Sus scrofa: one gene and its partners. The protein of the gene in region 4 purifies or fractionates together with the protein of the main gene of each other region. This does not show direct contact. Links are inferred from orthologs where the notes say so. Each region holds a gene or a part of one and is shown on either strand. Other genes may lie near its edges. The genes, in order: EIF3H, EIF4G3, EIF4G1 and EIF4A2.

Region 1 (6,996 bases), on a different chromosome or scaffold from region 4:
TCCATACATGCCAAATAAAGAAGGAATCCACTGGCAATGATGACTTGACCATGCTTTCTATAGATGAGCGCTTGAGTCATTTTCTATAAATACAAAGAAAGCCCTTACAGGCTTTTGGCTTGACCCAATTTGAGTATTACCCCTTTAAGCAAGCATTTCTATGATAGAATCAACACAGAAAAATATGCCTAATGCGAAAAGAAAAAAATTGATAAACAGTATATTATATACTCAACTTGAATGAGAAATGTTTACAAGATGGAATTTGCAATTTAAATAAAAAATTCTTTCCTAACATTCTGATATCCAAGGTCTGCAAGTAAAGCTGACATAGGTTTTCCAAAGAATGTTATAAAAACACAGTGTGAACAATGTAGTAACATTTTCAAAGACACTAAAATGTAAATATTTAGGTGCTGTAAATGAGAAATCACACCATGCTTCATTATTACTAGATTAACATTAGATAACCACATCTCCATCCCCAAGCTCCCAAAAATGGAGAAAAAAGTTTACTTTACCTCCATTCTAAAAGGATAAGGTATTTTGGGCAAGTTAATGCTTCTTTTCTCTCAGGTATTTTCAATTGAGAATAATACTATGTTTTCTAGAACCAAATAAAGCATTATCTATGATTATGGGGTTAATACCAAAGAGGTTTTACTTTTCTTGGCTTGTAATATTTAATTTTCCATTAGATTAACATGCTAGTTTTTCCTGTTCTTCTTGTTCTTGGGTACGTGAATGATTTATTAGACCTTGTACTCAGTTTATGAGCTTTTCTCATTTCAACTTGAAGAAACTGCAAATATTTATAGAAGATGAACCACATGTATCTGTTCCTGAAAAATGTCAGAATACAGCACTCAGATCAAATGCCGAACAGAAGCTATTCCATAACGCTACATACTGTGGAGATTTCATTCCCATTGACATGTTTTCCTAAACAGTTTTTCCCACTACAGTAATTCCTAATTCAAAAACTACTGAAATCGTCTGTTAGGCATGTCTCACATATTACTGAGCTACAGGTGTCTAAGTATTCATATAGAATTTAAGAAAGAATCACCCCTTTAAAAAATATAATTGACTCTTCTTAATCACACACCATAAGGAAAACAGTAATTAAGGTTAGGTTTGAACTGACTGTCCTTTCACTTTGTTCTTGGACACTTCAGGGGTGCTTTGTTTAACTCCACAATAAAATTCCACATCTAGGCAAGCAGAATTCAGGGAAATGAACCAAAGGAGTATCCCATCCACAAGGGCACCAGCTTTGTTTATCAATATGACCTGTCTACTACCACAGCCACACTCAAATACATGTTCACCCAAATAAGACTCACCATGGGCAGGAGTGCAAATCAGTATACCCCTTCTAGAAGGCAATTTGGCAACAGAGTTAAAGGCCTTAGAATTTGACACACCCTTTGACCAGTAAGTCTGCTTCTAGGAGTTTATCCTAGGAAAGTTAATTACATGTGAGCAAGTACTTGAATTCTCGAGTAGTGAAGGGCCTGATCTTTCTAAAAGCAAAAACCTGCTAATAAGCCAACTTCCTGAACAGTGAACCTAGCATGTGCCCTAGGTCATGGTACACACCGAGATTGCTCCACACCAACTGCTGCTTCCCATACAAGCCTTTGGCTCTCACACCTACAGCTAACACATGTCTCCTTGCATCCCCTCCAAATCAAGAGTGAGGTGCAGGGAAGTTATGTGACCTAAGAACACGGTAAAGAGAACCAGGTTGCCATCCAGCTGATGATCAATCAAACCAGACCCCAGAGCTGCCTCCAAAACAATGTTGTTGGGAAAAAAGGACTTCTGAACTCTTCTTACCCATTATCCATTCCTTCTGATCATCTTCCTATCAGCCATATCTTCAAGGTGAAAATCACCAAATAAGAGTCTCATAGGCACACCTCCATAGCTAGTAAATCTCAGTGGTTTGTGCTGTTACAAAAATGGCAGCATTTTTTATTTTATTTCAAATACAAAATTATTAAAATAGTCTTTTTTGCCCCAATATGGTACCTGTCTCCCAATTCTTCTTTCCCCACTCATAAAACTTGCTATTTGGCAGAATTATATTTCAAGACATGGAAAAAAAAAAATGAAGTTCTCAATGAAAAAAAATACACACAGAATAAATTTCATTTTCATACAAAATAATGTCTTCTGGTGAAATAATTTTTTTTTTTTTAAGTTTTTATGCCCAATGAATGGCCTATGAGCATGGGGACTGGGCTACCGCCACAGGAAGAAGAAAAAAGACAGACCGTGGGGAGCTCGCCAAGCACTTTCGGACCTGGGGACAAGGGCAGCCAGGGTAAGCATAGGAAGCACTCACTCGGGAGCGATGAAGTACTAGAATCCACAGTTGAACCGGGGCTTCCAGGTCAGGCGCTGGGGAAAAGCATCATTGGGCTGAGTGGCAGAGATGCGGCACCAGAGATAACAAGGTGATGGAGGAGCCTGTAGGTCTGGGCCTGAAGAAGCTTCTGGTCAAGCCTGCTTTATCTTTGGAAATACACAGGTATAAGCAAAACAAGAACAAGAGCTAAATATAATAAGTCTAAAATCAAATGAGCAAGCAGTCAAGATTGTTTTATCTTTATTTTATTATTATGTGCTAGAAAGACTTTTCAATATGCAAGTGTGTTTCTTCCAAAAGTCGCCCCAATGTGATCTCAAGAGTCCATGTTAACTCCTTTTCTGGAAACTTCCTTTTCTTAGTTGTTGTATTCTTGAAGAGCCTGGGCCATGAAGAGTTTGCCTAAGTTTTGGGCAGTGAACTCCTTGATGTTCTGGCAGTAAGTGTTAATCTGGCCTGTGCATTTGGGAAAGTGAGAAAGAGAATCATAACGTTCCACAAATTGTAAAACAACCTAGAATACTAGTCAAACAAGAAAATCAGCATAATACAGAATCACCAGAATTTTACTTTGTTATGTTTTGAATCAAGAGTCTGTAAGAATTTGTTTATAAGGGATAATAAAGAATATAAGTTCTTGGAAAAAATAACCTATCTTCCACTCTTGGTTACACGGAGAATGAAGAAAATCTACAACTTACTAGCAGTTAGGCACATGTTAGCTGTGAATCAAATAGTACTGACTGTGCAGATCAGACCAGGATTATACTAAGACAAGTGAGAAAATAGCACTGGCTCTTCTTAGCCAGGTAGAAAGGAGATACCGAATCACAGAACTGCAAACCAACCAAGCCCGCCAGACCCAGATGTTAACAAGTAAAGGGGTTTTCAGTCTGTGCTCTGGAAATATTAATAGGCCACCCCCCCCCCCAACAGCCCCAGAGCCAAGACAGAGCAGGAGCAGAGTCCATGTGAAGAAAGGGCTCTATCACTGCTTCTGAAGTCCTCTAACTAATAATCTAATCTGATGCAACAGTTAACATGTTTTTTGAAAGTATAAGAAATACAATCCTGCTTGAATTGAACGTTAAATAAGTAATACGTCTCAGTTTCCTAAATTTAATTTATATGTATACCAGAAAGTTTAAAGGAATTTGGAATTTCCCCCATACTAACACTGTATCAATAGAACTGAGAAATTGTAACATCAGCTTTTCTTTGAGTAGGATTTTCACTCCAACAAATCTCTCACAGACAAATGACTGTTCAATGACATTATACAGAAATAAGGTATTACACCTAACTAAGAGCAATAATGTTATGTTACATATTCAAAATCAAGTTCTAACACAGACATAAGACCTTAAGGCTGTGTTAAATGTTAAGTATCCCCAGAGAAAGTTCACGTTGCTACAGGTCCAAGTACTGGTAATAATACTTCTTGAATCAAAAACTCCAATTCAAACAGCCACATACAGACCTGGGCTCAAGGCTAGGCCAGAACATCTAAGTAAGCGTTTACTCTAAATGATCTGTGCATTATGAGACGATAAACATTTTTTCTGAAAGATGACGCACATAAAACCTCCCCATTTTAGAAAGTTTATATAATGCCATCTCAAAAGTGTCTAGATAAAGACAAAGTGAAGCAATGAAAGGACCAGAAAAATAACAAAGTCTGACAAATTCTTAAATTTCAGAAATTATAGATACTAGATTCAAATTCACCATTCAACCATTTGAAAAACACTAGCTTTTACGTCTTACTCTGCTTGGGAATCTCTGTCTCCTGCTTCCTAAGGAATAAAGAAACCAGCCGTGCTCTGCCCTAACTAATGATACCTGCAATGAGCAGTGAATCCATCCTGGCAGGGGGCTGGTGCGGCTTGAAGAGCTTGGACAGGTCCTCCTCAGGGAGTGGCGGTTCTCCTCGACTCTGGCGCTGCATATTCTCCTGCTGGCGGCGCTGCTGATACTAAAATTCACAGGGGAAATATTTGGTTATTTTTCTCTACCTGAGAGAAAAAAGACCTCTTTCACTTATGCGATCAGCAAAACCCCATAGCTCTGAATTCTGATCTTGATTTTATACACGGAAACCCTTGGTAACTATTGCTTGTAAGAAGCTAAATACAGCAACAGTCAAAGAAAATTTCTGTTGTAAACTCTCATGTCACTCTGATCTCTCAGAGTCTACAACTACTGATTTGGAAAAACAAAACTAGTTATGTGAGAAAAGAAGCTTTTTTAATTGAAACGATGGTGGTGAAGAACTAGTCTGGTTCTTAACCAGCTGAGCCACAACGGGAACTCTCAAGAGATTTTTTTTTTAAAGAAAATAAAATTTTTTAAATGACAGAAAGGAAGTAACTTTACCATTTATGACAATGGGATAAATAACAGCATTACAAGCACAATTCACCTTAACTTTAACTAAACAATGAAAAACCACATTGGGGAATTTTTTAAACTTTATCCCTACTGACAGAAACAGCAATAATGCTGCTGATATTACAATTATATCACCATTATTATTACTATGATAGTAAATACTATTACTATTCTTAACAACAGATAATCTGCTGTGCTCTAGAGCTCTATAGCTAAGAATGAATACTATTAGCTCAGATAAGGCTTCAAAAACTTAACTCCAGTTTCTTATGATTCCGCAGAGAAAGTGGGGGAACATACGAAAGTACAGATCACCTATAAATTTATAGTTCAAATTACAATCAAGATGCTAATAGTTGTTTCTGCTTATACCAGCAGAGGAATAATATCCCACACAAAACCTTAGGTTGCATAATGAGAAACCAGGATAGGCTGGTAAAATTCAAGTCCTTAGATTCCTATAGAAAGGGGGTAAGTTGCTCTGCAAATATTTCTATGTTCACATGGGTATTAGAGTAGAAGTGAGACAAATCTGAAAAGGGTTATGTTATGAACATGCTAAGTAAGAATAAATGTCAAACATAAATAAGACATAACAGCATTCTTTTAAAAAACCTCTTGGGAGTTCCTGTTGTGGCTCAGTGGGTTAAGAACCAGACTAGTATCCATTAGGATGAGGGTTCAATCCCTAGGCTTACTCAGTGGATTTAAGGACCCAGCGTTGCCATGAGCTGCAGCAGCTGTAGCTCCGAGTCCACCCCTAGCCGGGGAACTTCCATACGCTACAGATGTGACCATAAAAAGAAGAAGAAAAAAAAATCTCTTGAGGTTGGTTTCCAGAATCACAGAATCAACTCTCATGGGTGACAGGTTTTCAGTTTGATCCTCCAGTTGATCTGATAGGAAGTGCAGCAGAGGAATGGAACCAAGCTGGGTTTTTTCCCCCACCTCGTTTCAAAAAGATTTTCACCATCTTCACCACCATCATTTCCATTAAAAAAGACATTTTATATAGATTTATATGTCTTTAAAATTCTTTGTTGTAGAAACAAAGTATTTTAAATTCCACTAAATATATGAACATTAATATTAAAAAAATTTAAATATTCTCAAACGACTTAGCTATACTTAAAATCCCATAGTCACCAACACCTAGTTTCCAGTACATTTTAATGAACACAGAGGAGCTGAACACTCAGAAAAATATACATTCTAGAATCAACCTATCTATGAATTAAAACTTAAGAATATTTCGAAGCAATACAGACCAAAACCATATTCCAGGAACTGTAAAAATCATTCGGCCGGCCTTCAGGCAACACTAATAAGAAAAGATTAAATGGCCAGAGCAGTATGGACGTGCATATAAGAATATCCAGGTAATTCTAGGGTTTTTATCTGTATTATACTATCTATTTCACAGCAGTTGGTCCATTATTTCCTATCAAAACTGCTTGCTCTTAATCACAATTGCTCAGTTTTTTAAATGAACTGAAGATTGCTAACTATGCTGCAATGAGCCACTAGCAAACCAATTACAGTTAGTAAAGAAATGAGCTGTGACTCTCTAGAATCTCTCTGCCTGATTTTCTCAATAAATGTATCTCTTATTTGCATAACCTTGACATTACAATCTGAGTTTTTTAAAAAAAACAACACTCTTAAAGACAGGTATTTTTTAAATCCAACTTATAAATATATAGTAGGAATATACTATGTACAGAATTATCTTTTAAAATATGATATAGAGTTACTATCTAAGAGTCAATGCTTTATCAAAGATAATTTAGTGGATTTCCCATAGTGGCTCAGTGGTTAATGAACCGGCCAGTAACCATGAGGTTGCGGGTTTGATCCCTGGTCTCACTCAGTGGGTTAAGGATCCGGCATTGCCGTGCGTAGGTCACAGATGTGGCTCAGATCTAGAATTGCTGTGGCTGTGGGGTAGGCTGGAAGCTGAAGCTCCGATTCAACCCCTAGCCTGGGAATCTCCATATGCCGCAAGTGCAGCTCTAAAAAGCAAAAAACAAAAAACAAACAAACAAAAGATAATTTAGATCATTTTGAAGATGACTCCTGAAGTATAATACTTAGAAATGGATTCTGTTTGTAGAATTTTCCTGTAATACCAACCTGATGTTTCTGCTGCTGCTGTTTACTCGTGTTCCTCAGATATGTGTTATATTTAACTATATCTTGGCTCATTTCATCCACTCTGTCCATCAGCA
Region 2 (8,622 bases), on a different chromosome or scaffold from region 4:
TCCTAAGGTGGTTTAATTTCTCAGAGTTTGATAGAAAATACCCATAAGCCTGGGACAGGGAGTAGCAGCAGCAGAGGCAAGAGCTGATGTGACTCAGGCATCTTTTTTTTTTTTTCTTCCCATCTTTCTTCTTTATCTCCATCTTACATTGATCTCTCTCCTCTCTCCTTCCAAGAGGATCTGCTCTCTAGAAGCACAGATCCATCTTTGTTAATGGTGGGGCTTAGGAGTAAACAGACTGCTGTCCACTGCATGAGTTAGAGAGTTCTTGTTTCTAGTTGTAAAGGTATTTTGCTGGAGGCCTTATTAATATCTGAACAAGCAGAAACTTGCACTGAATCAAATGTGGCAGGCCTGTTCCTATGCTTTAAGGCTCAATGAGGTAAAGATAACCTACTTTGAATGTCTAGCAGTATGCGGCTATGAACTAATTAAAACAAAGTACAGCGTCACTTCTTTCTAGATTGCTCCACAGATCTCCTTTACCGTATATAGACTTCCCCAAGCTATCAAATGAGGGACAGTATCCTTCCTTCCACTTCCACACACAGACTTGGTAAGTGGCACCGCAGAGTAGAAAGGACATTCACAAGCTCTGGAGCCAGTAAGATGGTCTGAACTGCAGTCCACCACTTACTAGATAGACAATACTACATAGACAACCATGGGAACATTACTGAACTTCTCTAAACTTCAGTTTCCTCATCTGAAAAACAGATAGTACCTACTGCATTAGTGTTCTCATGAGAATTTTAAAAAATCATTTATGTTTGACTCCTAAAACAGGAGGCACTCAATAAATGAGTACTATTGTTATTATTCAGATTTAGCTTTGGTGGAGGCAAAAAAGAAGCAAACATCATTGGTTTCAATCTCTAAGATAAAACTGAAAATCAACACAGGATACCAAAAAAAGGAAAATTGTAACACCCCCAAAAAGACAATATTTGCTTTTAATATATGTCATATCTAAGACAAAATAGCTGAAGACACAAGTCATTTTCAGGTCATAACAGGCCTTTACCAAATTTAGTTTCTTTAAAGAACCCACTGCTCTGATTTTCTTAACCCAAACAACTGCCCCCAAACAGTAACTAGACTCCCCAGAACTGTCAGCAGCCCTGAGAGAAATTACATCCTGAAGTCTTCCCATATAAATAGAACACTGTGTATTCATAACAGACTGCAAAATTATTCTGTTTAAGTCAGAACTATTTGGGCACCTAAATTCAAACTCATTTATCTTTAATTATCTCAAGAGTGAGCAATTTGCATTTAAAGAACAAGGCTTTTAACGGGGACCCAAGAACTCTCTGGAAATATAAGGAAGATTTTCTGTGCATGGACAACTTTCTGTGGAGGGTCTATAAGCTTTCAACAAAATGTCAAAGTTGTTTGTTACCCAGAAAAGGTTAAGAACACTGTTGAGATTCTCAATAAAGCCTTTTGAAACCTCATACTGAGAAGCTGAGGTGAGCAAATCTCAAGGCAAGTATCCTGACGTGTCAGTTTCATAAACTATTCATACTGGATTATATTATGAAAACGCTAAACGTATTTCTCCCTTGCCATTAGCACTTTTTTATATCAGGGTTTATTTTCTTCTTTCATCCGCCATCACCCCTGCCCACCCTCCAGCATGCTCCATCCCTTGCTGGTCCCTTCTCTAGCCTCTCAACAGTCATAGGCCTCTACCTGAAATGGCCTTAACAGTCTGCCAAGCCATACTGATGCCTAAGAAGGTTCCATTTATTTATTTATTTATTTGCTTTTTAGGGCCGCACCCGTGGCATATGGAGGTTCCCAGGCTAGGGGTCTAATTGGAGCTATAGTTGCAGGCCTAGGCCACAGCCACAGCAATGCAGGATCTGAGCCACATTTGTGACCTACACCACAGCTCAGGGCAACACCAGATCCGTAACCCACTGAGTGAGGCCAGAGATTGAACCCGCAACCTCATGGTTCCTAATCAGATTCATTTCTGCTATGCCACGATGTGAACTCCCCATTTAAACTTAAATTCAAATTCACCATCACTTTTTTTTTTTTTTTTAACTTTTTTAAGGGGGCCACACCTGCAGCCTTCAGAAGTTCCTGGGCCAGGGATTGAACCTGCATCACTGCTGTAACCAGAGCTGTACTAGGACAATGCCAGATCCTTAACCTGCTGAGCCACCAGGGAATACCTAAATTCACTGTTATTTCTGATTTGTCACCTGAACACTAAGCACAAATAAAGGACATCTTGTTACATGAATCTCCTCACATTTTTACAAATTTAAAATATTATCTAAATTTATTAATTCAAACAATGAAGCTCCCTTGTGGTGCAGCAGGTTAAGGATCTGGTGTTGCCGCAGCTGTGGCACAAGTCTCTACCGTCACATGGGTTCGATCCCTGGTCCATGAACTTCTACATGCTGAGGGTGCAGTCAAAAAAAAAAAAAAAAACAAAAAACAAAAAAAAAAAACCACTACTGCACCCACACCCATATATTTTGAGGAACTGGAGAGTTAATCAAGCTATAGAAAGAGCAACTCCAACTTCACACTCCAGCCTGAATGCTTCAATATTTATCAACTTAACATGCAATAATCACTTTGTCAAATACAAATTCTCATACCCTCAGTGTACAGAAGCAAAATTGCCCTATTTAATCCATTTTTAACCAATTCCCCATTGCCATTGATAACTGTTCACCATTGGTTGTTCTAATGAAATCTATACTGGATTTACTATAAAAGCAATTCGATTTTAGCAACTGTAACCTTTCAATGCATAAAGCAAAGAAAAGGTAATAAAAGTGTGAAATGCCTTAAGAAGAAAATTAAATTCTAACTTTGATGACCTGAGGCAAAGTGGCAAAGTAAAAACTTAAAGCCACATAAAACTAAGTATCCTATATTACTACACATAAGTATAAAAAGTATTCCCATAGGAAATTCCATCTTAAATTTACCCCCTTTAACAACTGTTGCCAAATCAGTAACTACTTTTATGTTGCAACCAATTCAGTTTTTATATGCCCTTCCTGTCAAATGCATTGAGAAAAAGCACACTCACTTGACACACTGAAGTCACAGCTCTTTGTGTCCAAATAACCACAAAACTCACCAAGCACTGTCATATTCAGCACTTTGGTCCTCATCACCTTATATTCAAGAAGACATAGTATGGTCCTCATTTCATTTGTTTGAATTTCCAAAACAGCTCCAAGATGCAGGTAATGAATAACTTACTTGGTGGCACAGCATAGAAACTTACAGCCCTAACCAAGTTTGGGCAATCAAGACCCAAAAAAAATAAAACAAAATAAAATAAAATAAGAAAGGAATTTAACTCACAAACCATTAAGTAAAGATACATTTCAGAGATGCAGCACTGAACTTCACCTTGAAGTAGGCTTATCAGCCAAACTTTTCCCCCAACAGTTAAAGCCTCTAGGGATACTGATCAAAGCTAACTAGATTTTCCATGGGCAACGCACACTAAGATATCACTAACCATTCTCACCGGTGAACAATTCTTAATTGAACAGAATCATGCAGTTAACATTATGAAATCAGTACACACATCACACTGGAATGGAATTTATCTTACTCTGCGCCACACTGCTTGGATTGAAAAAAATGTGGATAACAACATTCAAAGAAAAGAGAAAATGACACTTGAAAGAAACCAAAACAATGACCTGAAATGACTTTAGAAGGGAGATACCTTTCCCTTCTCAAAGTAATGGATACAGACAAGAATCAAACTACAGACCGTGAAATAATCTGTGGACCTCACAGCAGTTAGTTTCGCATTTGCTTATTTGCTCAAACACCCTACTCTAAAAGTCAAACACACAATGACACGAACACAAAAACACAACACATCTACCATCCAATGATTATTTATTGATTTACACAAATACAACGGATTGGGGGGGAGGGGTGCATGATGAAATGTTATTCTCAGGTAGGTAATAATACCTCTCTAAATCTCCGTGGAATTCATGAACTCAACGTTTTACCTTCACCCGCTGGTTTTTAACTAAAATACCTCGTCACCAAGTCTTTCCAATCAAAGCTGTCCAAAAATTCTACAATCGAGCAAATAACATGAAATTAGACACATTCAATACTAGACTTTCCTCCAGGAGCCCTGGCACCCTCCAGACATGAGGCCTATGAAGAGTAAATTAAAGCCCTTTAAAAACAATCAGCATAACACGAGCCTTCCAAGAAGTGAGACTTTTGGGGGTGATGGGTAATGTCAGTTAACTTCCTCTTCCTTTAAAAAAGGTCAAAGACAGGGAAGCGTCCGGTGTAACATTTCCTCCTCAGATCGCGTTCCACCACAAACCACATCACAACTCTCCCAATCGCTAAAAAACATTAGCCAGAGGGAGTGCTTTCCGCAAAATTTCGCCATAGATTTAAAATCCAACTTACCTCCGGAACCAGCTGAGTTTAGTTTCAAACAGTAAAATTACCAATAAAGTTTCTTAGGTATTAATAATATTTAGGGAAGCCCACTATGCCCCGCTGCAGGGAGAGCTGAAGGGAGATGAGGAGGAGGGTGTAGCCCTCACAACAATCAGAGAAAAGCCTTCCCTGCAGGGCTGGTCCCGGGCACCAGCAAATTCGGCCTAATAAAGGGGGGGGGGGTGGGGAGGAGAGGCGAGAAGGGGGAAGGGTCCCCAGCTCCAAAAGGGAAGGGCTGCGGAAGCAAGGCCGACGGAGCTAGTTTTCACAGTAGTGCAGAGGGTCCCGGGGTCCCCCGCAGTGCTGCTGCCGGGTCACCCCAAAAGCTCCGGCCAAGCCGGGTGCGTGGGCTGAAGGAATAGTCCCTTCCCCGGCTGGGCTGTGGCTGCCGGCAGGAGGGTTCCCGGAGGGGCCTCAGCCCCCCTGGTCTGCGACGAAGAGAGCCGAACGGCCGGCAGGAAGGTGAAAAGGATACTGTTGGGGCGCCTGGGTCTGGAGGGCCCTGATGTTCGGGTGAGGAGGGGCCGCTGCCGCCGCCGCCGCCGCCGCCGCCGCTGCTGCCGCCGGGTGAGGAGGCGGTACCGCTGCTGCCGCCGCCGCCGCCGCCGCTCCGGTGCCGGGTCCGGTTCCTGCTGCAGCCGCTGAGCCTGATTTCAGAGCCGGTTTCTGCGGTAAACTCATGGCAAAGCGAAGCCACCAACCCCCCCAGAGCGGGACCGGGCGCGCCGGGGTGCAGGGGCCGGGGGCAGCGGGGGGGCGGGATGGGGGCAGACCCGGGGAGGCGGCGGGAGCGGGGGCCGGGGGGAGGCTGGGAGGAGGAGGAGGAGGGGGCCGGGGCCGGTCACACACGCCCGCCGCCGCCGCCGCCGCCGCCGCCGCCGCCGCCGGCAGCAGCAGCCGCCCCGCGGGCCAGCACCACCGGCTGCCGGTCTCCGTGACAACGCGACCCCGGGGGGGGGCCGGACCCGGCGGGGGCAGGAGGCGGAGAGACCGGACCTTTCACGGCAATATCCTCATGGGCCGGCGGCGGGGGGTCTTTATCCCCCTCCCCGGGGGAAGCGGCGCCCTTCTCGGTAGCGGGGCTCAGGCGATGCCGGCGGATTTTCTTCACTCAACGAGCAGAGCATCCAACATGGCGCTGCGGCCGCCTCCAGCAGTCCGGCAGGACGGCCGCTCGGAAAACTTCGGGCCTTTTCGGAATGGTTCGGGAGGCCGAGGGTGGGAAGCCCCTTCGGCTCTTTCCGGAGACTGGGAGCGGTCGGGATTCTTCGGAAATGCTCGGGGGCGTCTTCGGCCGCCGTTCGGGCGCTCTCTGGAACTGGCTCGCTTCCTCGGGAAAGATCGGCAAGGGGGCTTCCCAGGCTCGCTGCAGCCGGGGTGCGGGGCGGAGGGAGAGACCAAAGGCGAGGTCTGGTCTGCGAGAGCCCTCCCCTGCCGCCCACCTCGGAGAACAATGGTAAAGGCCCTCGAGCCTGCGGTCCGCAGAGCCCTGTCCGCCGAGGCGGGAGGCGGTGAGGCGAGAAACCTCAGTTACGGTGGGAGCAACCGCTTAACCAGAGTGGAACCGCTGGATAGGAACCTGCCGCGTGCACCTATTAGCATAACTAATAGCACTCGCTGGCCCTTAACGCTGATCCCGTCCATTGTGTCGACATTTCGCCCTTGTCCCCTCAGAGAGGCGAGTGGGATGAGGAGCCCCATTTCCAGAGCACCCTGAGGCTGGGAGAGGAAAAGTGACCGGCCCAAGGTCACCCAGCCAGGAAAGGGCAGAGCCAACCTGGATCTCACATCCACCTTCATCTGAAGGAATCTTGCCACCTCCCAAGTTGCCTGGGGACCTGATCTGCCCTGCCTTATCTAGTCAGCAACCTTAACTTAGGATTCTGTGGACGGATTCTTCCAAGGCCTGCCCCAAGACAGGAGCGCCCTTTGACCGGGGACCAGTGGTCGGCTCCCTGGGTCCTACTTGTTGATAAACTCCTTTTCTCACCAGCAGGACCGACCAAAACCATCCCACCCCCTCTGCAACACTCCTCCCCCAACTGGGGTCTTGTCCAAGCACAGGGACACTGAGTAGAAAGGAATTACAGAGAGATCAGGGAGCAAGCCAGGTAATAATGGTTACCAGACACATATTCATTATCATGCAGTCCTGTGAAGTAGGTAGTAATCATTTTACAAATGAAGAGACTGAGATGCTCATACTATCACACGACACAAGGAGCTGAGAAAATTGAGGCTCAAGAGGAAGGAAAAACTTTCCCAAGGTCACATGGAGAGTGTAGTTGGCAGAGACAACTACAGAGTGGGTTCTGCCTCCTGCTATACTGCTTCACACTGCCATTTTTTTTTCTTTCAATTCACATAAAGCTCTAAACATAGTAGGTGCTTAATTCTTAATAGTCCCTGGGAACCCCAAAAGCTCCTTCTCGGAAAAAGCATCTATCTGGAAGATGAGTCTGTGTCTTTCTGGTGAGGGTTCCTAGTGTTGAAAAGAAAGCATCATTCCCCATCTCCAGACAGAAGGCAGGAACTACTTCATCACCCAGAATACTGAACCATTTGGATCTGTGACAGCTGGTTACCTGGGATCAGATTCTCTTCTCTTTTCTAGACATGACTGACTCCAAGAAAAATTCTCAAGTGGTCCTGCCATCCCCAGATTCTCCTGCCATTCTCCAGATCTCAGACGTCCTCAGGTCAATGGAAACCTGTTCCCAGGAAAGAATTTGGCTTCCCTCTTACACTAGGGTGATAACAGACTGATAATTGCTTAATTGTTATTCTTTTCTGAGCTAGTTTCATTTTCTCACTTAATAGCTGCAAGCATCAGGCGATTACTGTGTGTCTGGTCTTTGCTAAGCACTTTATGAGCATTATCTCTCTTAAAACGGATAGACCTTGGGCAAAATGATGTAAAAGTCCCTGATAAGATTCTGGCCCCAGGCAATCCATTCGGAAGGCTTATAGGGAGCAAAGTCAAATAGTAGAGTGCTCTCCTTTCATCCAAAAGCCTAGTCCTGTTCAACACATCCCAACTAACACAGAGTGGCTATGTGTTATTGAACACCTACTGGGTGCCAGGGTACAACTCTGTGAAGTATTATGCTTAGATTAACTCATTCACCTCAGCAACGCTTCAAGGTTATGATATTCCATTTACAAATAAAGAAACCCAGGCTCAAAGATGTGAAGACGGAACTTGTATAACTTTCAAGTGAAAACAGTCATTCAAACCCGGGTATCTGACTCAGTTCTGATCTGCCACATTGCCTTCTACAGGGCATCTTCTCCATAGTAGCCAAAAGCACCTTCAACAAAGGAAGCTGATTTTGTAAAGTGGTCTGCTGAGAGTCCTCCATAGCTTCTCATTGCCTTCGGGATCCAGTCTCAAGGCAAGACCCTCCAGGATCTGGATTCTGCTTCCATCCTGCCACTCCCCACCTCAAACCTCAAGCTGCGGCAACCTTGCTCCATTGCAAACAAAGCCATTCTCCCCCCTGCCTTGGGGCCTGTAATACTGACCACAACCCCAACCATCCTCTTTCCTCTCAGCCCATTGACTAATTCCTGCTCCTGCTTCAAGGCTTAGCTTAGGCCTCACTTCCTCCAAACAGCCTTTCCCCCCTCCCCAGGCTGAGCTAGGCACCCCTCCTTTAGGCTCCCTCAGCAGCTGATGCTTAAAGCTCAGTGTTGAGCAATTCAGAGTGAGCCATCATAACCAAACTACCTGAATTTGATTCTCAGCCCTGCCCCTAACTAGTTGTGTGATCTTGGAGAAATTACTTAACCTCTCCAAGCCTCCGTTTTTCTCACCCCGTAAAATGGAGACGCTACCTCCTATCATGAGAAATAAGACAATAGGAGTTCCCTTGTGGTGCAGTGGGTTAAGGATCCATTGTCACTGCAGCAGCATGGGTTGCTGCTGTGGTGCAGGCTTGATCTCTGGTCTGGGAACTTCCACTTGTCCTGGACACAGCAGAAAGGAAGGAAGGAAAGGAGGGAGGGAGGAGGGAAGGGAGTACAACAAATATAAAGAACTTAGCCCAGTCCCTGCCACTTAGTAATCGTTGGATGCATTTTAGCTATTACTCATCCTCTGGTCATTTAAAATATCCCTAATATCTAGCATTCAATAAATAGGGTATAAAA
Region 3 (7,096 bases), about 2.4 Mb from region 4:
CCGGGAGAGGGAACCGGGCCAGTGACGTAAGTGTGGGGGCGTGGCCTTCACGTCACTACCCAAAGAAGGCGGGGCGGAGCCTACGTCACAGCCACGCAGAGGCTGCCTGGGGCAGAGTCCCTCAGCAAAAAAAAAAAACGCTCGTCTGCTGCTTCCAGACCCAAAGGCAGGGGAAGGTGGAGACCGGCAGGTTTGGATAGACTCACAGAATCCAGGCTGCCAGTCAAACTGCATGGGGTCAGAAGCCGTCGGTGCATCCAGGCCCCTCATTTTATAGATGAGACCTCAAAGCCAGAGGGCTTCGGCTATAAACACCTCCAAAACCAAGGCTTCCTCCACACACTGGGGTCTGCATCACATTTTGATAGGAGACCAAGACCAGGAAGTGTGTTCTGTCTAGTACTTCACACCTGTGTTCCCCTTCTCCCCTCAGCAAGGAACCCCCACCACGTCCACTTTGATTTCCTAGCCCTTGCAATCATGGACAGGGGAAGAGGCAAGAGGGGGTGCCAAGTTTCAGGGAACAGTGCTACGGTGCCAGCTCTGGAAAGGAGGCTGCCCACCTATCCAGACCCCTTCTCCAGAGGGAGCAGGCCATAAAGCAGAGAGGCAGTGAGTTAATTGAATTCATGTTTAATAATTACAGGCACCGTGCCCCCCCTTCCCCCTGCCCAGGCAGCAGCAGGGGTGGTGCAGGGGCTGGGGCATTATGCCCCCAGCAGCGAGGACGGCAGTCCCAAGAGTGATTTTCAGAAAATAAAAAAGGACCCCAGGGGCAGGCGGTGGTGCCCCCCCCAAGACACACCAAATTTCAAGACTTTATATATAATATATCTCTGTGCCCCAGGGGGAGGAGAGGGACACCTGGCAGCATCCTGGAGGGGGGCCCCAGGCAGCCCCAAGCCATCCTGCCTCTTCAGCCACTTTATTAGCTCAAGACACATCGCACTACAGGCACCCACTGCCGCCGCCACTGCTGCCGCCGCCCCCCCTTGCAGTCCGGGCGGCTGGCTTGGCCATCCGAGTGTCCATGGGGCTCTGAGGCCCCGACCCCACCCGCTCTCAGTTGTGGTCAGACTCCTCCTCCTCCGCCTCACGAAGCCACTTGAAGAAAGCTGTGACAGATTTAAGGGCCACACCCTTGCCCTGCTGCTCAGCGGGGTCCTTGCTACTCTCCCAGCTATAGAAGGCGTCCTCCTTCACCACGTCCTCATCATACAGCGCATCAAAGAACGTCCGAAGCAAGTCTGTAAGCAGGCAGGACAGTAGTTAGAGGCATACTGCCCACAACCAGCCCATCCCACCCCCCAGGGATCCCTCCTCTAAGCTCCACTGTTGAGATAAGACCCTGACCCACTATGCTGACATTTGTGTCTGGCCATTCCAGAGTGGCTAGGTCTCTGACAGGACGCTAATCTCATGATCTAAGAGACGGTGCACAAGAATGAGTCACTTGGACAAAACTTAGAAACCTGCCCAGCCTCACCTCAGCAGCTTCAAACTTCTCCATTCATGATATACTTAATGGGCAAAACTGCAGAGTTGGTACTCCTGAATTTAGGAAATCACAAAAGCCTCAGATGTATCTCTTAACAAAAGTCAAGGGTACAACCTGGAACATTCACTGGCCCTCATTACAGATCCCAACAAACTCTCAATCTTCTCTTTACTTTCCACACATCTCCTAAACATACACACCACCTCTGTGCTTTAACACTTTGTGTGTGCTGTATCCACTGCCAGGAATATCCTTTCTCTTTCACCTTTTATCACCTTCCTAGTGAATTCCTTTAGGCTCAACTCAGGCACCCCTTGCTCTGACCCTCTTTCTCCTTCACCCAGAGCTACTCCAAATTCCGAAGCACCCGAATAACCCCTGAATATAATCTATTCCAGGAGTTCCCATCGTGGCCCAGTGGTTGACGAATCCGACTAGGGACCATGAGGTTGCAGGTTCAATCCCTGGCCTTGCTCAGTGGGTTAAGGATCCGGCGTTGCCCTGAGCTGTGGTGTAGTTGACAGACACAGCTTGGATCCCACGTTGTTATGGCTATGGTGTAGGCTGGTGGCTACAGCTCCAATATAGAACCCTAGCCTGGGAACCTCCATATGCCGCAGGTGCATCCTAGAAAAAGCCAAAAAAAAAAAAATCTATTCCACTACCAATACATCACACTGCCAGTCCTTCCAAAGCAAACATGTTATATATACATGTCTTTTTAGGGCCGTACCCATGGCACATGGAAGTTCCCATGCTAGGGGTCTTAATCAGAGATGTAGCCGCCGCAGCAACACCAGATCCGAGCTGTGTCTGTGCCTTACACCACAGCTCACGGCAATGCCAGATCCTTAACCCACTGAGCGAGGCCAGGGATCAAACCCGCAACCTCATGGTTCCTAGTCGGATTGGTTTCTGCTGCGCCACGACGGAACTCCAAACATGACATTCTTAAGAGCAGAGGGAGACTGAGTAGTGAATGCATTTCCTCTGAATAAAGCAGAGAATCTAGAGTCCAGGCCTGGGTTAAACAATGACTGAGCCGTCTATGAGAAGCTGCAAGCCAGGACAGCTCCTCAGGGCATGCACACCCTCAAATCCACAACCACTGTCTATGGGTAGCCTCCCACCCTCATTCCGCAGCAATGGCAACAGCAGATCATTTATCCCAAACCTGTTCTCCAAATCCCATGCACACCAACCCCAAGGACCTTACACAATCATTTATCCACTCTACCGTGGATAAATGATGTGTGTGTCTTCAAGCCCAAGTTTCTCCAATCTAAACACAAATGACCTCCTTTACAGCCACTACTTCTTGACGGCCAAACAAAAGACCTGTCAAAGATTTTATCAGCACTTGCTGTTTTCTTGTTGATTCAGTGAGTATTACACTGTCTTTTCCAATACAGGTTCTGCCCCCTGCGCCCCAAATAATGTTCCTGCCAGGGTTGCCTCCTTGTTTTCACACTCTAGAGGCCCTAAATTACGTCGTCCTGTGGAACTCAAGCAGCATCTAGCACTACTGACCACCTCTCTCTCCTAAAAAATCACTCTGTCCTTTGTTCAAAGGGTCCTGTCCTCCTTTGGTCCCTACCTGTGGGACCGCTACCCTTTCAAGGCTCTATTCCTCGGACAATCCCATACCCTCGTGTGTTTCTTTCCTTTCTTCCTTTTTTTTTTTTTTGCTTTTTAGGGCCACAGTTCAACATATGGATGTTCTCAGGCTAGGGGGGTGAACCGAACTGCAGCTGCCGGCCTATGCCACAGCCACGCAGTATCTGAGCCACATCTGCAACTTTCACCACAGCTCACGTCAACGCCGGATCCTTAACCCACTGAGAGAAGCCAGGAATCAAACTTGAATTCTCATGGACACTAGTTGGGTTCATTACCACTGAGCCTCAACGGGAATACCCCCCTTCTTATGACTTGCACGTGTGTTGTCCTGTACCAGCAACTCAAGAGATGGGCCTCCAGCCCTGACCTCTTCCTCCTCCATGAATTCAGATACCACGTCATCTACCCAACTGACATCTCTGTTCACCCTCACCAAGGACTACAAACAACTCAACCTGACCCAATGTTCCCTTCCCACCAGGGAATGGCACCTCACCTGCTAAAACTCTCCTGGGAGTCATACGGCTTCCTATCTCACATCATGCCCTCCCCAGGCCAGTGTACTGTATGTCTAGAGTCTGCCCGCTCCTCCTCCCATCTCCACTGTCACCAGTAAGGCTAAGCCACTACCGACGTGCTCCCTGATCTGCTGATCTGCCATAGTCACACTCAGCCCACTCCAAACCACTCCTCCCACTAATGGCCAGGATGATCTAAAAACTAAAAAAAGGAGTTCCTGTCAGGGCTCAGTGGTTGACAAACCCGACTAGCGTCCATAAGGACACGGGTTTAATCCCTGGCCTCACTCAGTGGATTGAGGAGCCCACACTGCTGTGGCTATGGTGTAGGCCAGCAGCTGCAGCCGTGATTCAACCCCTAGCCTGGGAACCTCCATATGCTTCAGGTGCAGCCCTAAAAAGCAAAAAAAACAAAAACAAAAACAAAAACACAAACAACAAAAAAACAAACCCACAAAAGGCCTTTTCTCATCCTTAGGTTAAAGCCCAAAATCTATCCCATGACTTACACTGCCCTGCATGACCTGACCATGTCCATCTCTCTACCCATGTTGCCTCACATACACTAGGTGCTGTGCTTCCCACCCTGGTCTTCCTCCTTCAACAGTTTTTACCTTGTGTCATATTTTCCACCTCAGGCACCCCTTTATACAGTTTTTTCTTGTGAAGTCTCCCCCCTCCCATCTGTCATTTATCTCCCACGTGTCAATTTCCATTATTCTCTCTGACTCAGTATATTCCCCGAGAGAGTACCCTACAGGACACATCTTCCAACATCCACCTGACTCATGCCAACAGAACTACACTTGACTTAAGCACTGCCACCACCCCAATGCCTTGGCGCATGCCTATTTGCTGAATACATAATCTCAGGCATGTTACACTAAGCCTCAGCCTCCCAAAATGGAAAAGGGGGCAACACCATCTACCCTAAACAACAGTTGTGAGAAGTAACTGAGGCAAAGAAAGAAAAGCAGCTCAGCCCTATTGTCAGGCAGAGGGCCCACACTAAGAAAATGTTACCATTTATCACCTCTGCACTTCTAGGCACAAAGTGGATGGTCAATTAACCTTCAAGGCTGAGTCTGACTCCTTTCACTTGTAGGTAAGGACACCAGTGTTGCAGGGGAAAGGGCTCAACCATCGGGATATTTTGCTCCAATGACCACCCACCTTTCTTGAGTTGAGACCCCTTCACAACTACCCCTACTATCTGGCAGTTCCTCCAACCCACTCCCACTCCTGTGGCCTGGCTCTTACTGGCGGGCTGTTCTAAGGTCACTACAAGGGCCTGGAGAGCATAGAGCGCCTGCAGCTCCTTCTGCTCATCACACAGGTATTTCTGTAGCAGTTTCGCTCGTGCTTTCAACACCGCAACATCCACCCGGAGAGGCGTCTCAACTAGAGGGAGGAAGACAGGGATAAGTGGAATAATGCACTCAGCCTGGTTCAGAACTGGAGGCAAAGACCAAAACCTCCCTCCCTCCCTCCACATGGCTGCTGGGCCCACCCTTGCCCCACCCACTCCCTGGCTTCTCTTACAGATAATTGCAGAATAGCAGACAGTTGTCATGAGGGCTCGAACCAATGTGTTGGATGCTACCTGCTGCTCACTCAGGTTGGCCTGTGCAGGAGAAAAAGCAACGAGCAGATATTATAAGTTAATTATGCTGGAAGGATCTATTCTTGCTGCCCCCACCCACACATCAATAACCACCTCTTCTTTATCCAGGAAAAATATACCTCTATCCAGTCAAACACCCGCTGGTTACTGCTGCCCTCCTTCAGCAGCTTCTCCAGCTGCCTGCTCAGCTCCTCAGAGGAGAATAACCTCTGGCCAGGGGCTTCTGACTCCTCTCCCAAGGTATACTCCACCTTCTGCAAGCAAGAGTTGGAGGCAGGTAAGTGCATCTCATGAGATGAGGGAAGAGGTGTGGACTGGCTGGCCCCAGATGTGAGAGAGAACCTAACTCCAGCCACAAACCTGTGCAGTGATGAAGGCGCTGACATCCTGGCCTTCAGGTAGGAATTCTTTCCAGCTGAGTCCAGCCTCTCGCCACAGTGATCCCACCTTTTTGGGACCCTGAAAAACATAAAACATAAAACTCAGCAACTCTTTTTCTCTCCAAGAATACAATGGCTCCACAAATGTCAACAAATAAATACACACTGGAAGCCCACTAGGAGCCTAGATGCCACAGAGGCACTGAATGGGAACAGACCCTCCATGCCTACCTACAGTCTAGTATTGGGCACGGACATCAGTCAAATAATCACCCAAAGTCACAAGAATTCATCCACTACAGTGTTATGAGACCTGAAGGATGGCCTAAGAGCCTCCAAAAAAATGTCAATTAGCTGTCACAGGATTCTCAAAGAATGAATGGACCACAAAAAGGTCAATGACCAAATCCAAATAACTCATCCTAGTCTTCCACACTTCTTTTCCTAAAATAGCTTTGTTTGGAGTTCCCGTCGTGGCGCAGTGGTTAACGAATCCGACTAGGAACCATGAGGTTGCGGGTTCGGTCCCTGCCCTTGCTCAGTGGGTTAACAATCCGGCGTTGCCGTGAGCTGTGGTGTAGGTTGCAGATGCGGCTCGGATCCCGCGTTGCTGTGGATCTGGCGTAGGCCGGAGGCCTAACAGCTCCAATTCGACCCCTAGCCTGGGAACCTCCATATGCCTCGGGAGCAGCCCAAGAAATAGCAAAAAAGACAAAGACAAAAAAAAAAAAAAAAAAAGCTTTGTTTTCCATTATTCAGGTAACAAACACTTATGGAAGAGAATAACTTTTTTTTTTCTTTTTCTTTTTAGGGCCACACCTGCAACCCCACGCTAGGGGTCCAATCGGAGGTACAGCTGCCAGTCCACACCTACAGCCACAGCAAATATCTGAGCCACATCTGCAACCTACACCACAGCTCACGGCAATGCTGGATCCTTAACCCACTGAGTGAGGCCAGGGACCAAACCCGCATCCTCATGGATGCTAGTGGGGTTTGTTACCACTGAGCCACAGCGGGGAACTAGGAAAGAACAACTTACAAGTATGCTTATTTGGTTCCCAAATCCAGAAAATTTTAGAAGCAGATATAACTTCCATCCCCAACACAAATCAGAAAATCTTCACATAAACAGCAGTCTGAGTTCATTTTCTGTAAGGGGCATGATATTCTGAAGGCATCACTGTTTTACAATAACAGATATTCAAACCCTTGACAAAATTACTATAACTCCTGGGTTTTAAGAATGCCCATCATGGAGCAGCAGAAACGAATCCACCTAGGAACCATGAGGTTGCAGGTTTGATTCCTGGCCTCGCTCAGTGGGTTAAGGATCCAGCGTTGCCATGAGCTGTGGTATAGGTTGCAGATGCGGCTCAGATACTGTATTGCTGTGACTGTGGACGTAGGCCGGGCAGGTGTAGCTCTGATTCAACCAGTGTAGCCTGGGAACTTC
Region 4 (8,633 bases):
CTTTGCTATCAAAATCTGTATTTCTGATCCGTTATGAGCATTGAGACAAGATTCAAATATTCCCAAAGAAAGAAGCACAATGCACGTTGTGATCGCCTATTCAGCAACAGCGAGCACTGCATTCAAAACTATCTCATCCCAGGAATTAAATAAGGTCAGCCACATTCATTGGCATTTCCTCCACTGTAGTATTGTAGAAAGTCTCAATGTCACGAAGAATCCTCTTGTCTTCTTCAGTAACAAAGTTTATAGCCACACCTTTCCTCCCAAATCGACCCCCTCTGCCAATTCTGTGTAAGAAAAAGAAATCAGCAATTAGACTTGTTTCTCATATGCTGCATGAAATACTGAACATGATGATCCACTTAACCATCAGCTGCTGTTTACTTATCATGGTTATAGTTCGTGCTTCTAATTGGAGCACTAGCTGCTAATCAATATCTAGAGAAAAAAATCTTCCTTTGCAGTTAGTGCCAAAAGGATTCAAGGCTTGTCTGGCTGCAAAATGAGATTTTATCAGGTGTCTTGAGCATTACTTTTTTAAAGCAGATGACAGTATATTGTGTTTGGGGTAGTGAATTTAAAGCCCATACCAAAGTGGGCCAGCCAAGAGCAGATGTCAGCCTGGGACAGATGTAAAACACCAGGGTAAAACAAAAAAGAGCAGTTATGTAATCCATTTCGACGCAACTTCTGGAACTGTAAACTGTAAATACAAATGCTGCAAGGTTAACTACTGCCTAAAACTTACTTCTTCCAGTGGGAAAACAAGTATTTGGTATGGTAACCCAAACTTATCACTGCTTTTTTTTTTTTTTTGCTCAGTTTCACACGTTGAAACTCTAATTATTCAAACGTGTTTACCTCCAAAACAGCTTTCTAACCTTCCTGATAAGATACCAGACAATACAAACCACCTAACAGGCTACTATACAAAATTCCTTGGCTGGAGCATCTTAAAATATCAAATAATCATGACAAAAGAAAAACAAATATAAATACCGACTCGCTCTTTATTCAAACAGTGTGCTGTTTCGCTTATGATTCCACGTCCTAAATTACGTCAACGCCGTTTCTGAGCGCCATCTGGTCATCAACTGCTGCTATCGACTCCTGTATTTTTTAAAAAGTCTTTTTTTACATCATATAACAAAGTACAATTCAATTTATTTAGGGATAAAGCCACTATAACTAAACCAGGGACTGCTCAAATTGCTACCAGACAACACCAAGAAAATCCCAACTACAGAGAAATCACCAAGAAAGCACATGGACACACGAGCATCACTAAAAATAAAGCTCAAAAATAAGCTAAAACCAACAGAACTAAAACAACCTCATCTGTGTATGAAGTCCACAATTTGGGCAACACTCACAACTGTTTTCCCACTGTGTCTGACCAATCTTCCCAAATACAATTACACCCTACCAAGTTACTGTCTTAATTCCCTGATTGGAGGTTACCTTTCACACAAATCAGTCAGTAGAAAAGCGAAATGAATTTTACCAATACAGTAATAAATCAAGATGCCACCTACTCACCTGTGAATATAGTTTTCACGATTGGTAGGTAGGTCATAGTTTATAACCAATGATACTTGTTGCACATCAATCCCACGAGCCTAAAATACAATGTATAATGTTCAAATTCTAATTAAAAAACTAGACACCTATGTAATGTAGGCCACAAAATAGTAATGAACTATACTAAATGGTATAGCTCACTGTGGAGCGTGGTCTCTTCTTTACTCTCCCAAATAGCCTAAACTTGGTAAAGGTTATTAAAGAAAACCTTCCCCCAAAACAAACTTTTGGTAGATTAAAAAGAACAGTAAGAGACTCACCAACAAGTCAGTAGTGATCAGAACACGGCTTGACCCTGATCGGAATTCCCTCATGATAACATCTCTTTCCTTCTGGTCCATGTCACCATGCTGCAAATTAATAAGCCTTAAGATCACGAGTCATATTAACATTTAATTTTTATCAATATGTATGAGACCAAGCGTCCCTGGCTGCTACAGAGTATAACAGACAGGTATAGTTAAGAAACAACTTTATTTTGAGCAGGGGGAACGACAACACAGCACTTAACAGCTATATTGTAGTCTAAATCCTGCTTTAACAAAAATAAAGACTTCAACCATCATTACTAGGTTAGAACATCTTACCAGAGCAGAAACTGTAAAGTCCCTGGCATGCATTTTCTCAGTAAGCCAGTCCACCTTGCGCCTTGTATTGAGAAAAATCACAGCCTGTGTAATCGTCAGTGTCTCATACAAGTCACAAAGTGTATCCAACTTCCATTCCTACAGTATTTCGAGAAAAAAAAGTCATTAAAAGAACTGTTTCCAACTTATATTCATTCAAAATTCATTGCTTGACTATCTACAAATAAATATATGGCACCAAACGTTAAGACAAAGGACACTGGACATTAAGAAAGAGGTCCACCCCAGTCTTTACAATCTAGTGCAGTTACTCTTCTTCTTGTGTGTACTCTGCTAGCATTATTACAAAAACCAAGATGTGATCCTAGTTTCTGTAATTTTAGCACAGTGCTTATACAAGAAGGTTAAAAAAACCTGGCTACAATTTTTTACAATTAGACAAATTACCTCTCTTTCAACATTAATATAAAACTGTTTGATTCCTTCAAGGGTCAATTCTTCCTTTTTCACCAGAATTCGAATTGGATCTCTCATGAACTTTTTGGTCACTTCCAATACATCCGTTGGCATTGTGGCAGAAAGCAACACAACCTTTAAAAGACAATAATTGAACTGTCACACATCCCACAATTCCAACTCTCACAATACTCAAGGGAAAAAATGTTTGAGGCCAAGCGTCTCTGTCTTAGCAAGACATTGTGCTAAACGGAGATAGTTATGCATCAATTACTTTAAGCAGGGGGAATGACAATAGAACACTTCAGTTGTATTGTAACAGTACCTGCATTAACCTAACCTCCAGCTATTACAGGAAAATGAGGGAAAATAAAGCTCACCTGAATACTTGTATTTAATTTTTGGAAAATCTCATAGATTTGATCCTTAAACCCTCGGCTCAGCATTTCATCTGCTTCATCCAAAACAAACATTTTGATCCATTTTGGAGCTGTTAAAAATAAAGTCGTACTATTATCTCTAGACTATCAGGCATGTTATTGATTCCTAAGAGTTAAAAAAAAAAAAATCTATACTCCAACAAACTATACTAATAGGGAGTAATACTTACAAAGATATCTTCTGTTTAACATATCAAACACTCTCCCTGGTGTACCAACAACAATATGTGGTGCTTCAGCCTGCAGTTTCTGCATTTCATTCCGAACATTTGTCCCACCAATGCAGGCATGACAAGTTGCTCCCATATAGTCTCCAAGTGCCAGAATTACCTTTTGGATCTGAAAGCCAAAAGCGTTAATTATCATCCAGCAGCATTACATGCTGTGACTAAACTTCCAAAGCATATTGACAAGTATGTGGTCTGCAAACAGCTTTAATGCATGCAGAGCACCTAACTACTTTCAAGCTGAAAAAAATGCAGACAGATATAACTGTCAGGATAAACTTCACTGAAATATCTTGTGCCTTGTCAAAACTTGGGATCCTATTGCCCAGATACCAACCAGGTTATTTAGAGTGAAAAACATTTCCTACATTAGTATTGTGCAGGAAGGAGTAAATAAGATTTATCATCATTAACAAACTTTTTCCCGCAAAGTACTGCAGCATATAATCTTGACCTTAATAACAACTACAAGTGTATTAGCAAGGTTTACTTCAAAGCCAATATAGTAGTGAGCTTTGAAAACGCAGCATGCAACAGATGTATCACATACTGAGACAGTCAAATGAATGAACATGTCACTGCAGCTTTCATGTTGCACAACTGGATTCAAACTTAAAATGAGAAAAGATCTAGTCCAGCCTGAACAGAAATCTTCAGTTTCTCAATCTGTTACACAACCTTGCAAACCATACCTGCACACCCAGTTCCTGTTTAACTTTCAACAATAACTCCCTGCATGCATGGACAGTTAAAAGGAGGGCTCTGTAGGACCAATTTATACTAGGCTTTTAAATTCTCCACAGTTGTGAAACCTGAAACCTATGCAACACGCAAGCAGTTTTTTTGAACTACACTATCAATACCTGTTGAGCCAGTTCTCTGGTGGGGGCCAATACTAGTGCTTGGGTCTCCTTGAACTCAATCTCCAACTGTTGCAGGATGGAAATAGCAAATGTGGCTGTCTTGCCAGTACCTGACTGAGCTTGAGCAATCACATCATACCCTAAAAAAAGTAGGATACATATTTACCGATCCCACAGCAAACCGTCACTTCTAGTCACACCATGTATTCCATTTGGAACATAATTATGCCCAAATAATCAAGTGATCAGCAATGAGTATTCTCTTCATTTCAGGTCAGTCCCGAAAGATGATTGCCATCATTTCACTTTTTGGAATACAAATAGGTGCTAGTCCCCCAGAAGGTATACGTTCCCTTTTACGGTCCAGGTCTATGCAGAAGAGTGAATTCATTTTTAAAAACAGCCGAATTCTTTTACCTTTAATACAAGGAATAATAGCTCTCTGCTGAATAGCTGATGGCTTCTCAAAACCGTAAGCATAGATGCCCCGAAGAAGAGACTCCTTTAAATTCATATCGTCAAAGTTATCAACAATCTCATTCCAGTTGCTCTGAAAGTTTGGGCAAAAAAAAAAGGAATAAATGGGACGAACACACTTACCTTCCCAGAGTTTCAAATTCCACACACGTTTCTTACCTCGATGACACCATCGGGGTCCATTCCCTCTGGGCCGCCATGTTCTCTGCCAACAAAAACACTGCAGTTAGAGAAAATCCCTTCCCCAAACCCACTTCAACTGCACATGGGCGAAAAAGCGCTTTCACAACCGGTCTCTTGAGGTCGCCCTCCCCTGCACGAGTCCACTTCCCAAAGCCGCAGAAGAAGCTGATGCCGCAGGGCACACAATGTCCCGCGCGCCCGCTCAAAGGTTAGGACCTGAGGACACCCGGAAAGGCCCCTCCGACGCCGGCCCTCCCCCTCCAAGCCCGAGCGCAGGCGCTCCCCTCGGCGGCGGACCGTCTCGCGAGAGCTCCACGCGCTGAGCTCCGCCCCTAACACTGCGCAAGCCGGGGTGATTGACGCGGGCCGAGGCCTGGAGAGGCGAGCCAACGGCTCATTGGGACCCCGTGGCCGGCGCGGCCCCATCCGGCCTCCAGCCGCGGGCAGTGGGCGCCGTCGCCGTCCTGCCCCCCACCCCACCACCGTCTAGCGCGCCCAAGCCGCGCCGCTGGCCGCGAATAAACCTCCGAGCCCCATTAGACTCTATCAACCGCGGGCTGCGCCATGGCTTTCACTAAACGCCGGGCTCCGCAGGGGCAGGGGGGCGGCTGCGATTCAAATGCGCCTTCGGGGAAAGACACGCTTTAACCACCCCGTTTTCCTACCCTCGTCTCGTCTCCCCACAACCCGGGCCCTACACTTCATGGAAGCTTCTCGAAGGACACAGGAGTACCGTGGCCCAAGGCAACGCCTATGAACCAGGGCTTCTCTTCCTGCTCACCGCCTACTACCATCTCCTCTGGCGCCTTAGGACCATACCATAGAAAACCACCGGAGAGAGCGCCATACCTGTTATAATCCGCGGAGCCACCAGACATGATCCAAAGAACCACTCAGCGCCCGACTGAAAAGACAGCCGGGCCGCACCACCCGTTTTTTATAGGCTCGCGGCCGGAACCCGTTTTCCGCGGAGGAATTTTACTGTCGCTCTTCGGCCAGTCACAAAATTGTGATCCTGGGATGCTTATCTCAGAAAATATTCGAAGCAAATCATTAAGAAAATTCAAATTTGATTATGTGTCGATATTCCAGGGTTGTTGAAAATCCCAGGACCCTGGGGGAAGGTTGGGACTCTTTGACCCGCGGCGGAAGAATATTGCAGCAAGCAGTAGCTAGGTTCGCGTTCCCTGCCCGCCCTGCTCCTACGGGGTTTCCGCGTCCCTCGAGCAGAGGCGGCCGGGGCGCCGGGCAGGACCGGGAGGCGGAAGCTCGGGGCCCCTTGGAAGCTGGGTGGCCCCGGTTTCTCCGCAGGCGAGCCAGGGAACCTCGCTGTGCTCGCCGTGCTCGGTGCGGAAGGTGTAGGCACGGCCATACTCCGCACTGGAGGGCAATCGGGCTATTCCGCCTGTTCGCGCCGCTACTTAACGCGAAGGTAAAGAGCCGCCTGGCCTTTGACACGAGCGTTTAACATCCATACAGACCTTGACAGTGTGAAACTCGCGCTGCGGAAAATGTCGGCCGCCCAGCGTGTCACAGGAGATCCGCTTTACCGTACATCGTGCAGGGCGAGAAGAAATGTGTAGGGTCCTCTGCAAATTGTCTCTGGAGTAGCCAACTCCTTTCTTATGTTGCCTCTTCTCTCACTGCCTTTTAAAAATAAAGGTTATAAATTTTAACAGGTGTGAGCAATGCCTGATAAAATCATTGTAAACTGGCAAATAGAAGGGTAATTTTTCCTGTAATTCAGGAATTTAAGTGGATGCTTCTGGCAAGTACAGCTCCGTGCCGCTTTGGGACTACATAAGTTTTGCTTCCGGTCATTTTTTTTTTTTCCAAAAGGCTTTTTGAATTTTAATTGCTTATATATAATGAATGTTGATTTATTGATATTGAGAGCATTGTAACCCTTAAAGCTCCAGAGGCTTTCAACTATAGCCCTAACCCATACTCATTAGTAAAAACAAAACAAAAATTAATATATATAGTCATTTAACTTTGAAATACAATCCTACCCATACTGCAAAATATCACAATTACTCAAGAAAACCTTTTACCATTAAATCAGACTGCCAACATAAAGTCTGATAACAGGAAAAATGACTTAATTTTCTATATTTGTGTACTATATTCAGTATGATGCTTGCTTCTAAATGCCACATTTTTTCCAAAAAAAAAAAAATCATTTGCTTGAAAATTGTTGTGCCAGAAACTGACAAGAACTAATACCCAGATGACAGTGTCTTCGCCTGCAGTCTAGTGATGCTGCTCCTTAACCATCCCTTTATAATGTTCAAGTCCAAATTTGTGATAATGCCATACATTGTCTGAGAATAGAAAGCAGAAATCCTTGTTGGCTCATCCAAAATCTACTAAAAATCTCCTGGGATCCAGGAAACTGAAGGAAATACTAAATCAGAAAAGTAGCCAACAACTTAGTCCACTTGAGTCTATAGGGTGAAGTCAATCAACAATTAGGTGTTAATTGTTGAATGTTTTCTTTAGGTCTAGCTACTGTTTCATAATATGGGGGATTTCCAGAGTCTCTTTAACAGGAAATAATCAAGGGCCAAACTCCGGGTTTAGGTCAAAGAAAAACTTCCTAATCCAAAATCCAGCAAAAATCCGGATACATTGCCTGCAGCTCTACAATGTATTTCTAATAAATGCTGTGCTTACCACATTTGCTAAGTACTTAATAGTAAGTAAAAAGTGAGATAAAGATCCAAAGAAAACATACACATTAACAAAGTTTTGCATATCAACACAGAGCATACTCTCACTGTTAAAAGAAACTTTTCTACTTACCTGAGATCTAAAATTAGATAGCCACCTCTAGGTCAAGGACAAACGTTTCCGTGCTAACCTGGAGCATGTGAGGCCATTTACACTGCAAACAATGCTAAAATTCTGCTTCTTTCACTACGTGAGCCATCTAGTTTAGTTCTGCCCTTCAATAGCCTCCGCTGACGAATTGTAAACCCATCTAGCAACTGTAAGCCAACATTCACCAAAGGAATCAAGGAATTAGTACAGATTTGTCAGTATGACATGGAAAAGAGTAACAAAACCTTAAAAGAGTGTGGGGTTTTTTTTGGTTCATTTTTGTTTGTTTGTTTGTTTGTTTTTATCTTTTTCAGGGCCGCACCTGAGGCTATGGAGGTTCCCAGGCTAGGGGTCGAATCGGAGCTGTAGCCACTGGCCTACGCCACAGCCACAGCAACGCCAGATCCTTAACCCACTGAGCAAGGCCAGGGATCGAACCCAAGTCCTCATGGATGCTAGTCAGCTCCTTAACGTGAGCCATAAGGGGAGCTCCATTAAAAGAGTATGCTTTATATTTGGTAGTGAAGTCTTAATGTAGAGAGTACCATGTGTTCTTACCATTCAGGGCGTGTTATGTCATCTTGCCAATCTAACATTATTTTAAGGCCATCAGTTGATTTGAAATGATAGCTATGCATTTAAAGCAGTTTCTTGGTAATCTATTGATATGCAAAAGCCTGTTAGGATATGTGTTTTAGGTCTTTAATTCTCTTATTACTTATTAATGTCACTTATTATTTAGTAAACACAGGATAATCCATGGTGTCCCTCCATCTATAAGTGTTTAAAAACTGGATCGAAACAGGGTTATTCTCCTCTTTATTATTCAGTGGCTGGAGGAAATTAGAGGCTAGATTCTGCTTGAATGTAGGCAATGTCCACTGGAGCAATTTAGAGGGTAGCACTCATTGCCACATTCTTCACAATAATTTTAAAACCATTTGCATAGTGATAGGCAAAGATAATAATAGAGTTGAAAGAAAGGAAAAAAAT

The links.
Region 1: the proteins of EIF4A2 (region 4) and EIF3H purify together in Homo sapiens (affinity purification with mass spectrometry; 3 studies listed by BioGRID and IntAct, with this or other methods). This does not show direct contact. The link is inferred for Sus scrofa from reciprocal best matches to the Homo sapiens genes EIF4A2 and EIF3H.
Region 2: the proteins of EIF4A2 (region 4) and EIF4G3 purify together in Homo sapiens (affinity purification with mass spectrometry; 3 studies listed by BioGRID and IntAct, with this or other methods). This does not show direct contact. The link is inferred for Sus scrofa from reciprocal best matches to the Homo sapiens genes EIF4A2 and EIF4G3.
Region 3: the proteins of EIF4A2 (region 4) and EIF4G1 purify together in Homo sapiens (affinity purification with mass spectrometry; 6 studies listed by BioGRID and IntAct, with this or other methods). This does not show direct contact. The link is inferred for Sus scrofa from reciprocal best matches to the Homo sapiens genes EIF4A2 and EIF4G1.

The regions. Positions count from the first base shown.
Region 1 is NC_010446.5:22,049,288-22,056,283, reverse strand, and holds the end of EIF3H (eukaryotic translation initiation factor 3 subunit H), read right to left. Parts: coding exon 6,902-6,996; intron 4,353-6,901; coding exon 4,220-4,352; intron 2,834-4,219; coding exon 2,736-2,833; 3' UTR 2,601-2,735; downstream 1-2,600.
Region 2 is NC_010448.4:79,376,392-79,385,013, forward strand, and holds the start of EIF4G3 (eukaryotic translation initiation factor 4 gamma 3), read right to left. Parts: upstream 5,648-8,622; 5' UTR 5,467-5,647; intron 5,118-5,466; 5' UTR 4,946-5,117; intron 1-4,945. UniProt on the Homo sapiens protein: Component of the protein complex eIF4F, which is involved in the recognition of the mRNA cap, ATP-dependent unwinding of 5'-terminal secondary structure and recruitment of mRNA to the ribosome. Functional homolog of EIF4G1.
Region 3 is NC_010455.5:122,218,885-122,225,980, reverse strand, and holds the end of EIF4G1 (eukaryotic translation initiation factor 4 gamma 1), read right to left. Parts: intron 5,720-7,096; coding exon 5,621-5,719; intron 5,515-5,620; coding exon 5,380-5,514; intron 5,261-5,379; coding exon 4,897-5,260; intron 1,248-4,896; coding exon 1,063-1,247; 3' UTR 618-1,062; downstream 1-617. Other genes in the region: protein FAM131A, read right to left, coding at 1-270.
Region 4 is NC_010455.5:124,580,159-124,588,791, reverse strand, and holds the start of EIF4A2 (eukaryotic initiation factor 4A-II), read right to left. Parts: upstream 5,731-8,633; 5' UTR 5,696-5,730; coding exon 5,667-5,695; intron 4,840-5,666; coding exon 4,794-4,839; intron 4,708-4,793; coding exon 4,575-4,707; intron 4,298-4,574; coding exon 4,158-4,297; intron 3,407-4,157; coding exon 3,238-3,406; intron 3,118-3,237; coding exon 3,008-3,117; intron 2,763-3,007; coding exon 2,619-2,762; intron 2,310-2,618; coding exon 2,172-2,309; intron 1,935-2,171; coding exon 1,845-1,934; intron 1,623-1,844; coding exon 1,543-1,622; intron 1,114-1,542; coding exon of another isoform or gene 1,104-1,113; exon of another isoform or gene 291-1,103; coding exon 146-290; 3' UTR 1-145. UniProt on the Homo sapiens protein: ATP-dependent RNA helicase which is a subunit of the eIF4F complex involved in cap recognition and is required for mRNA binding to ribosome.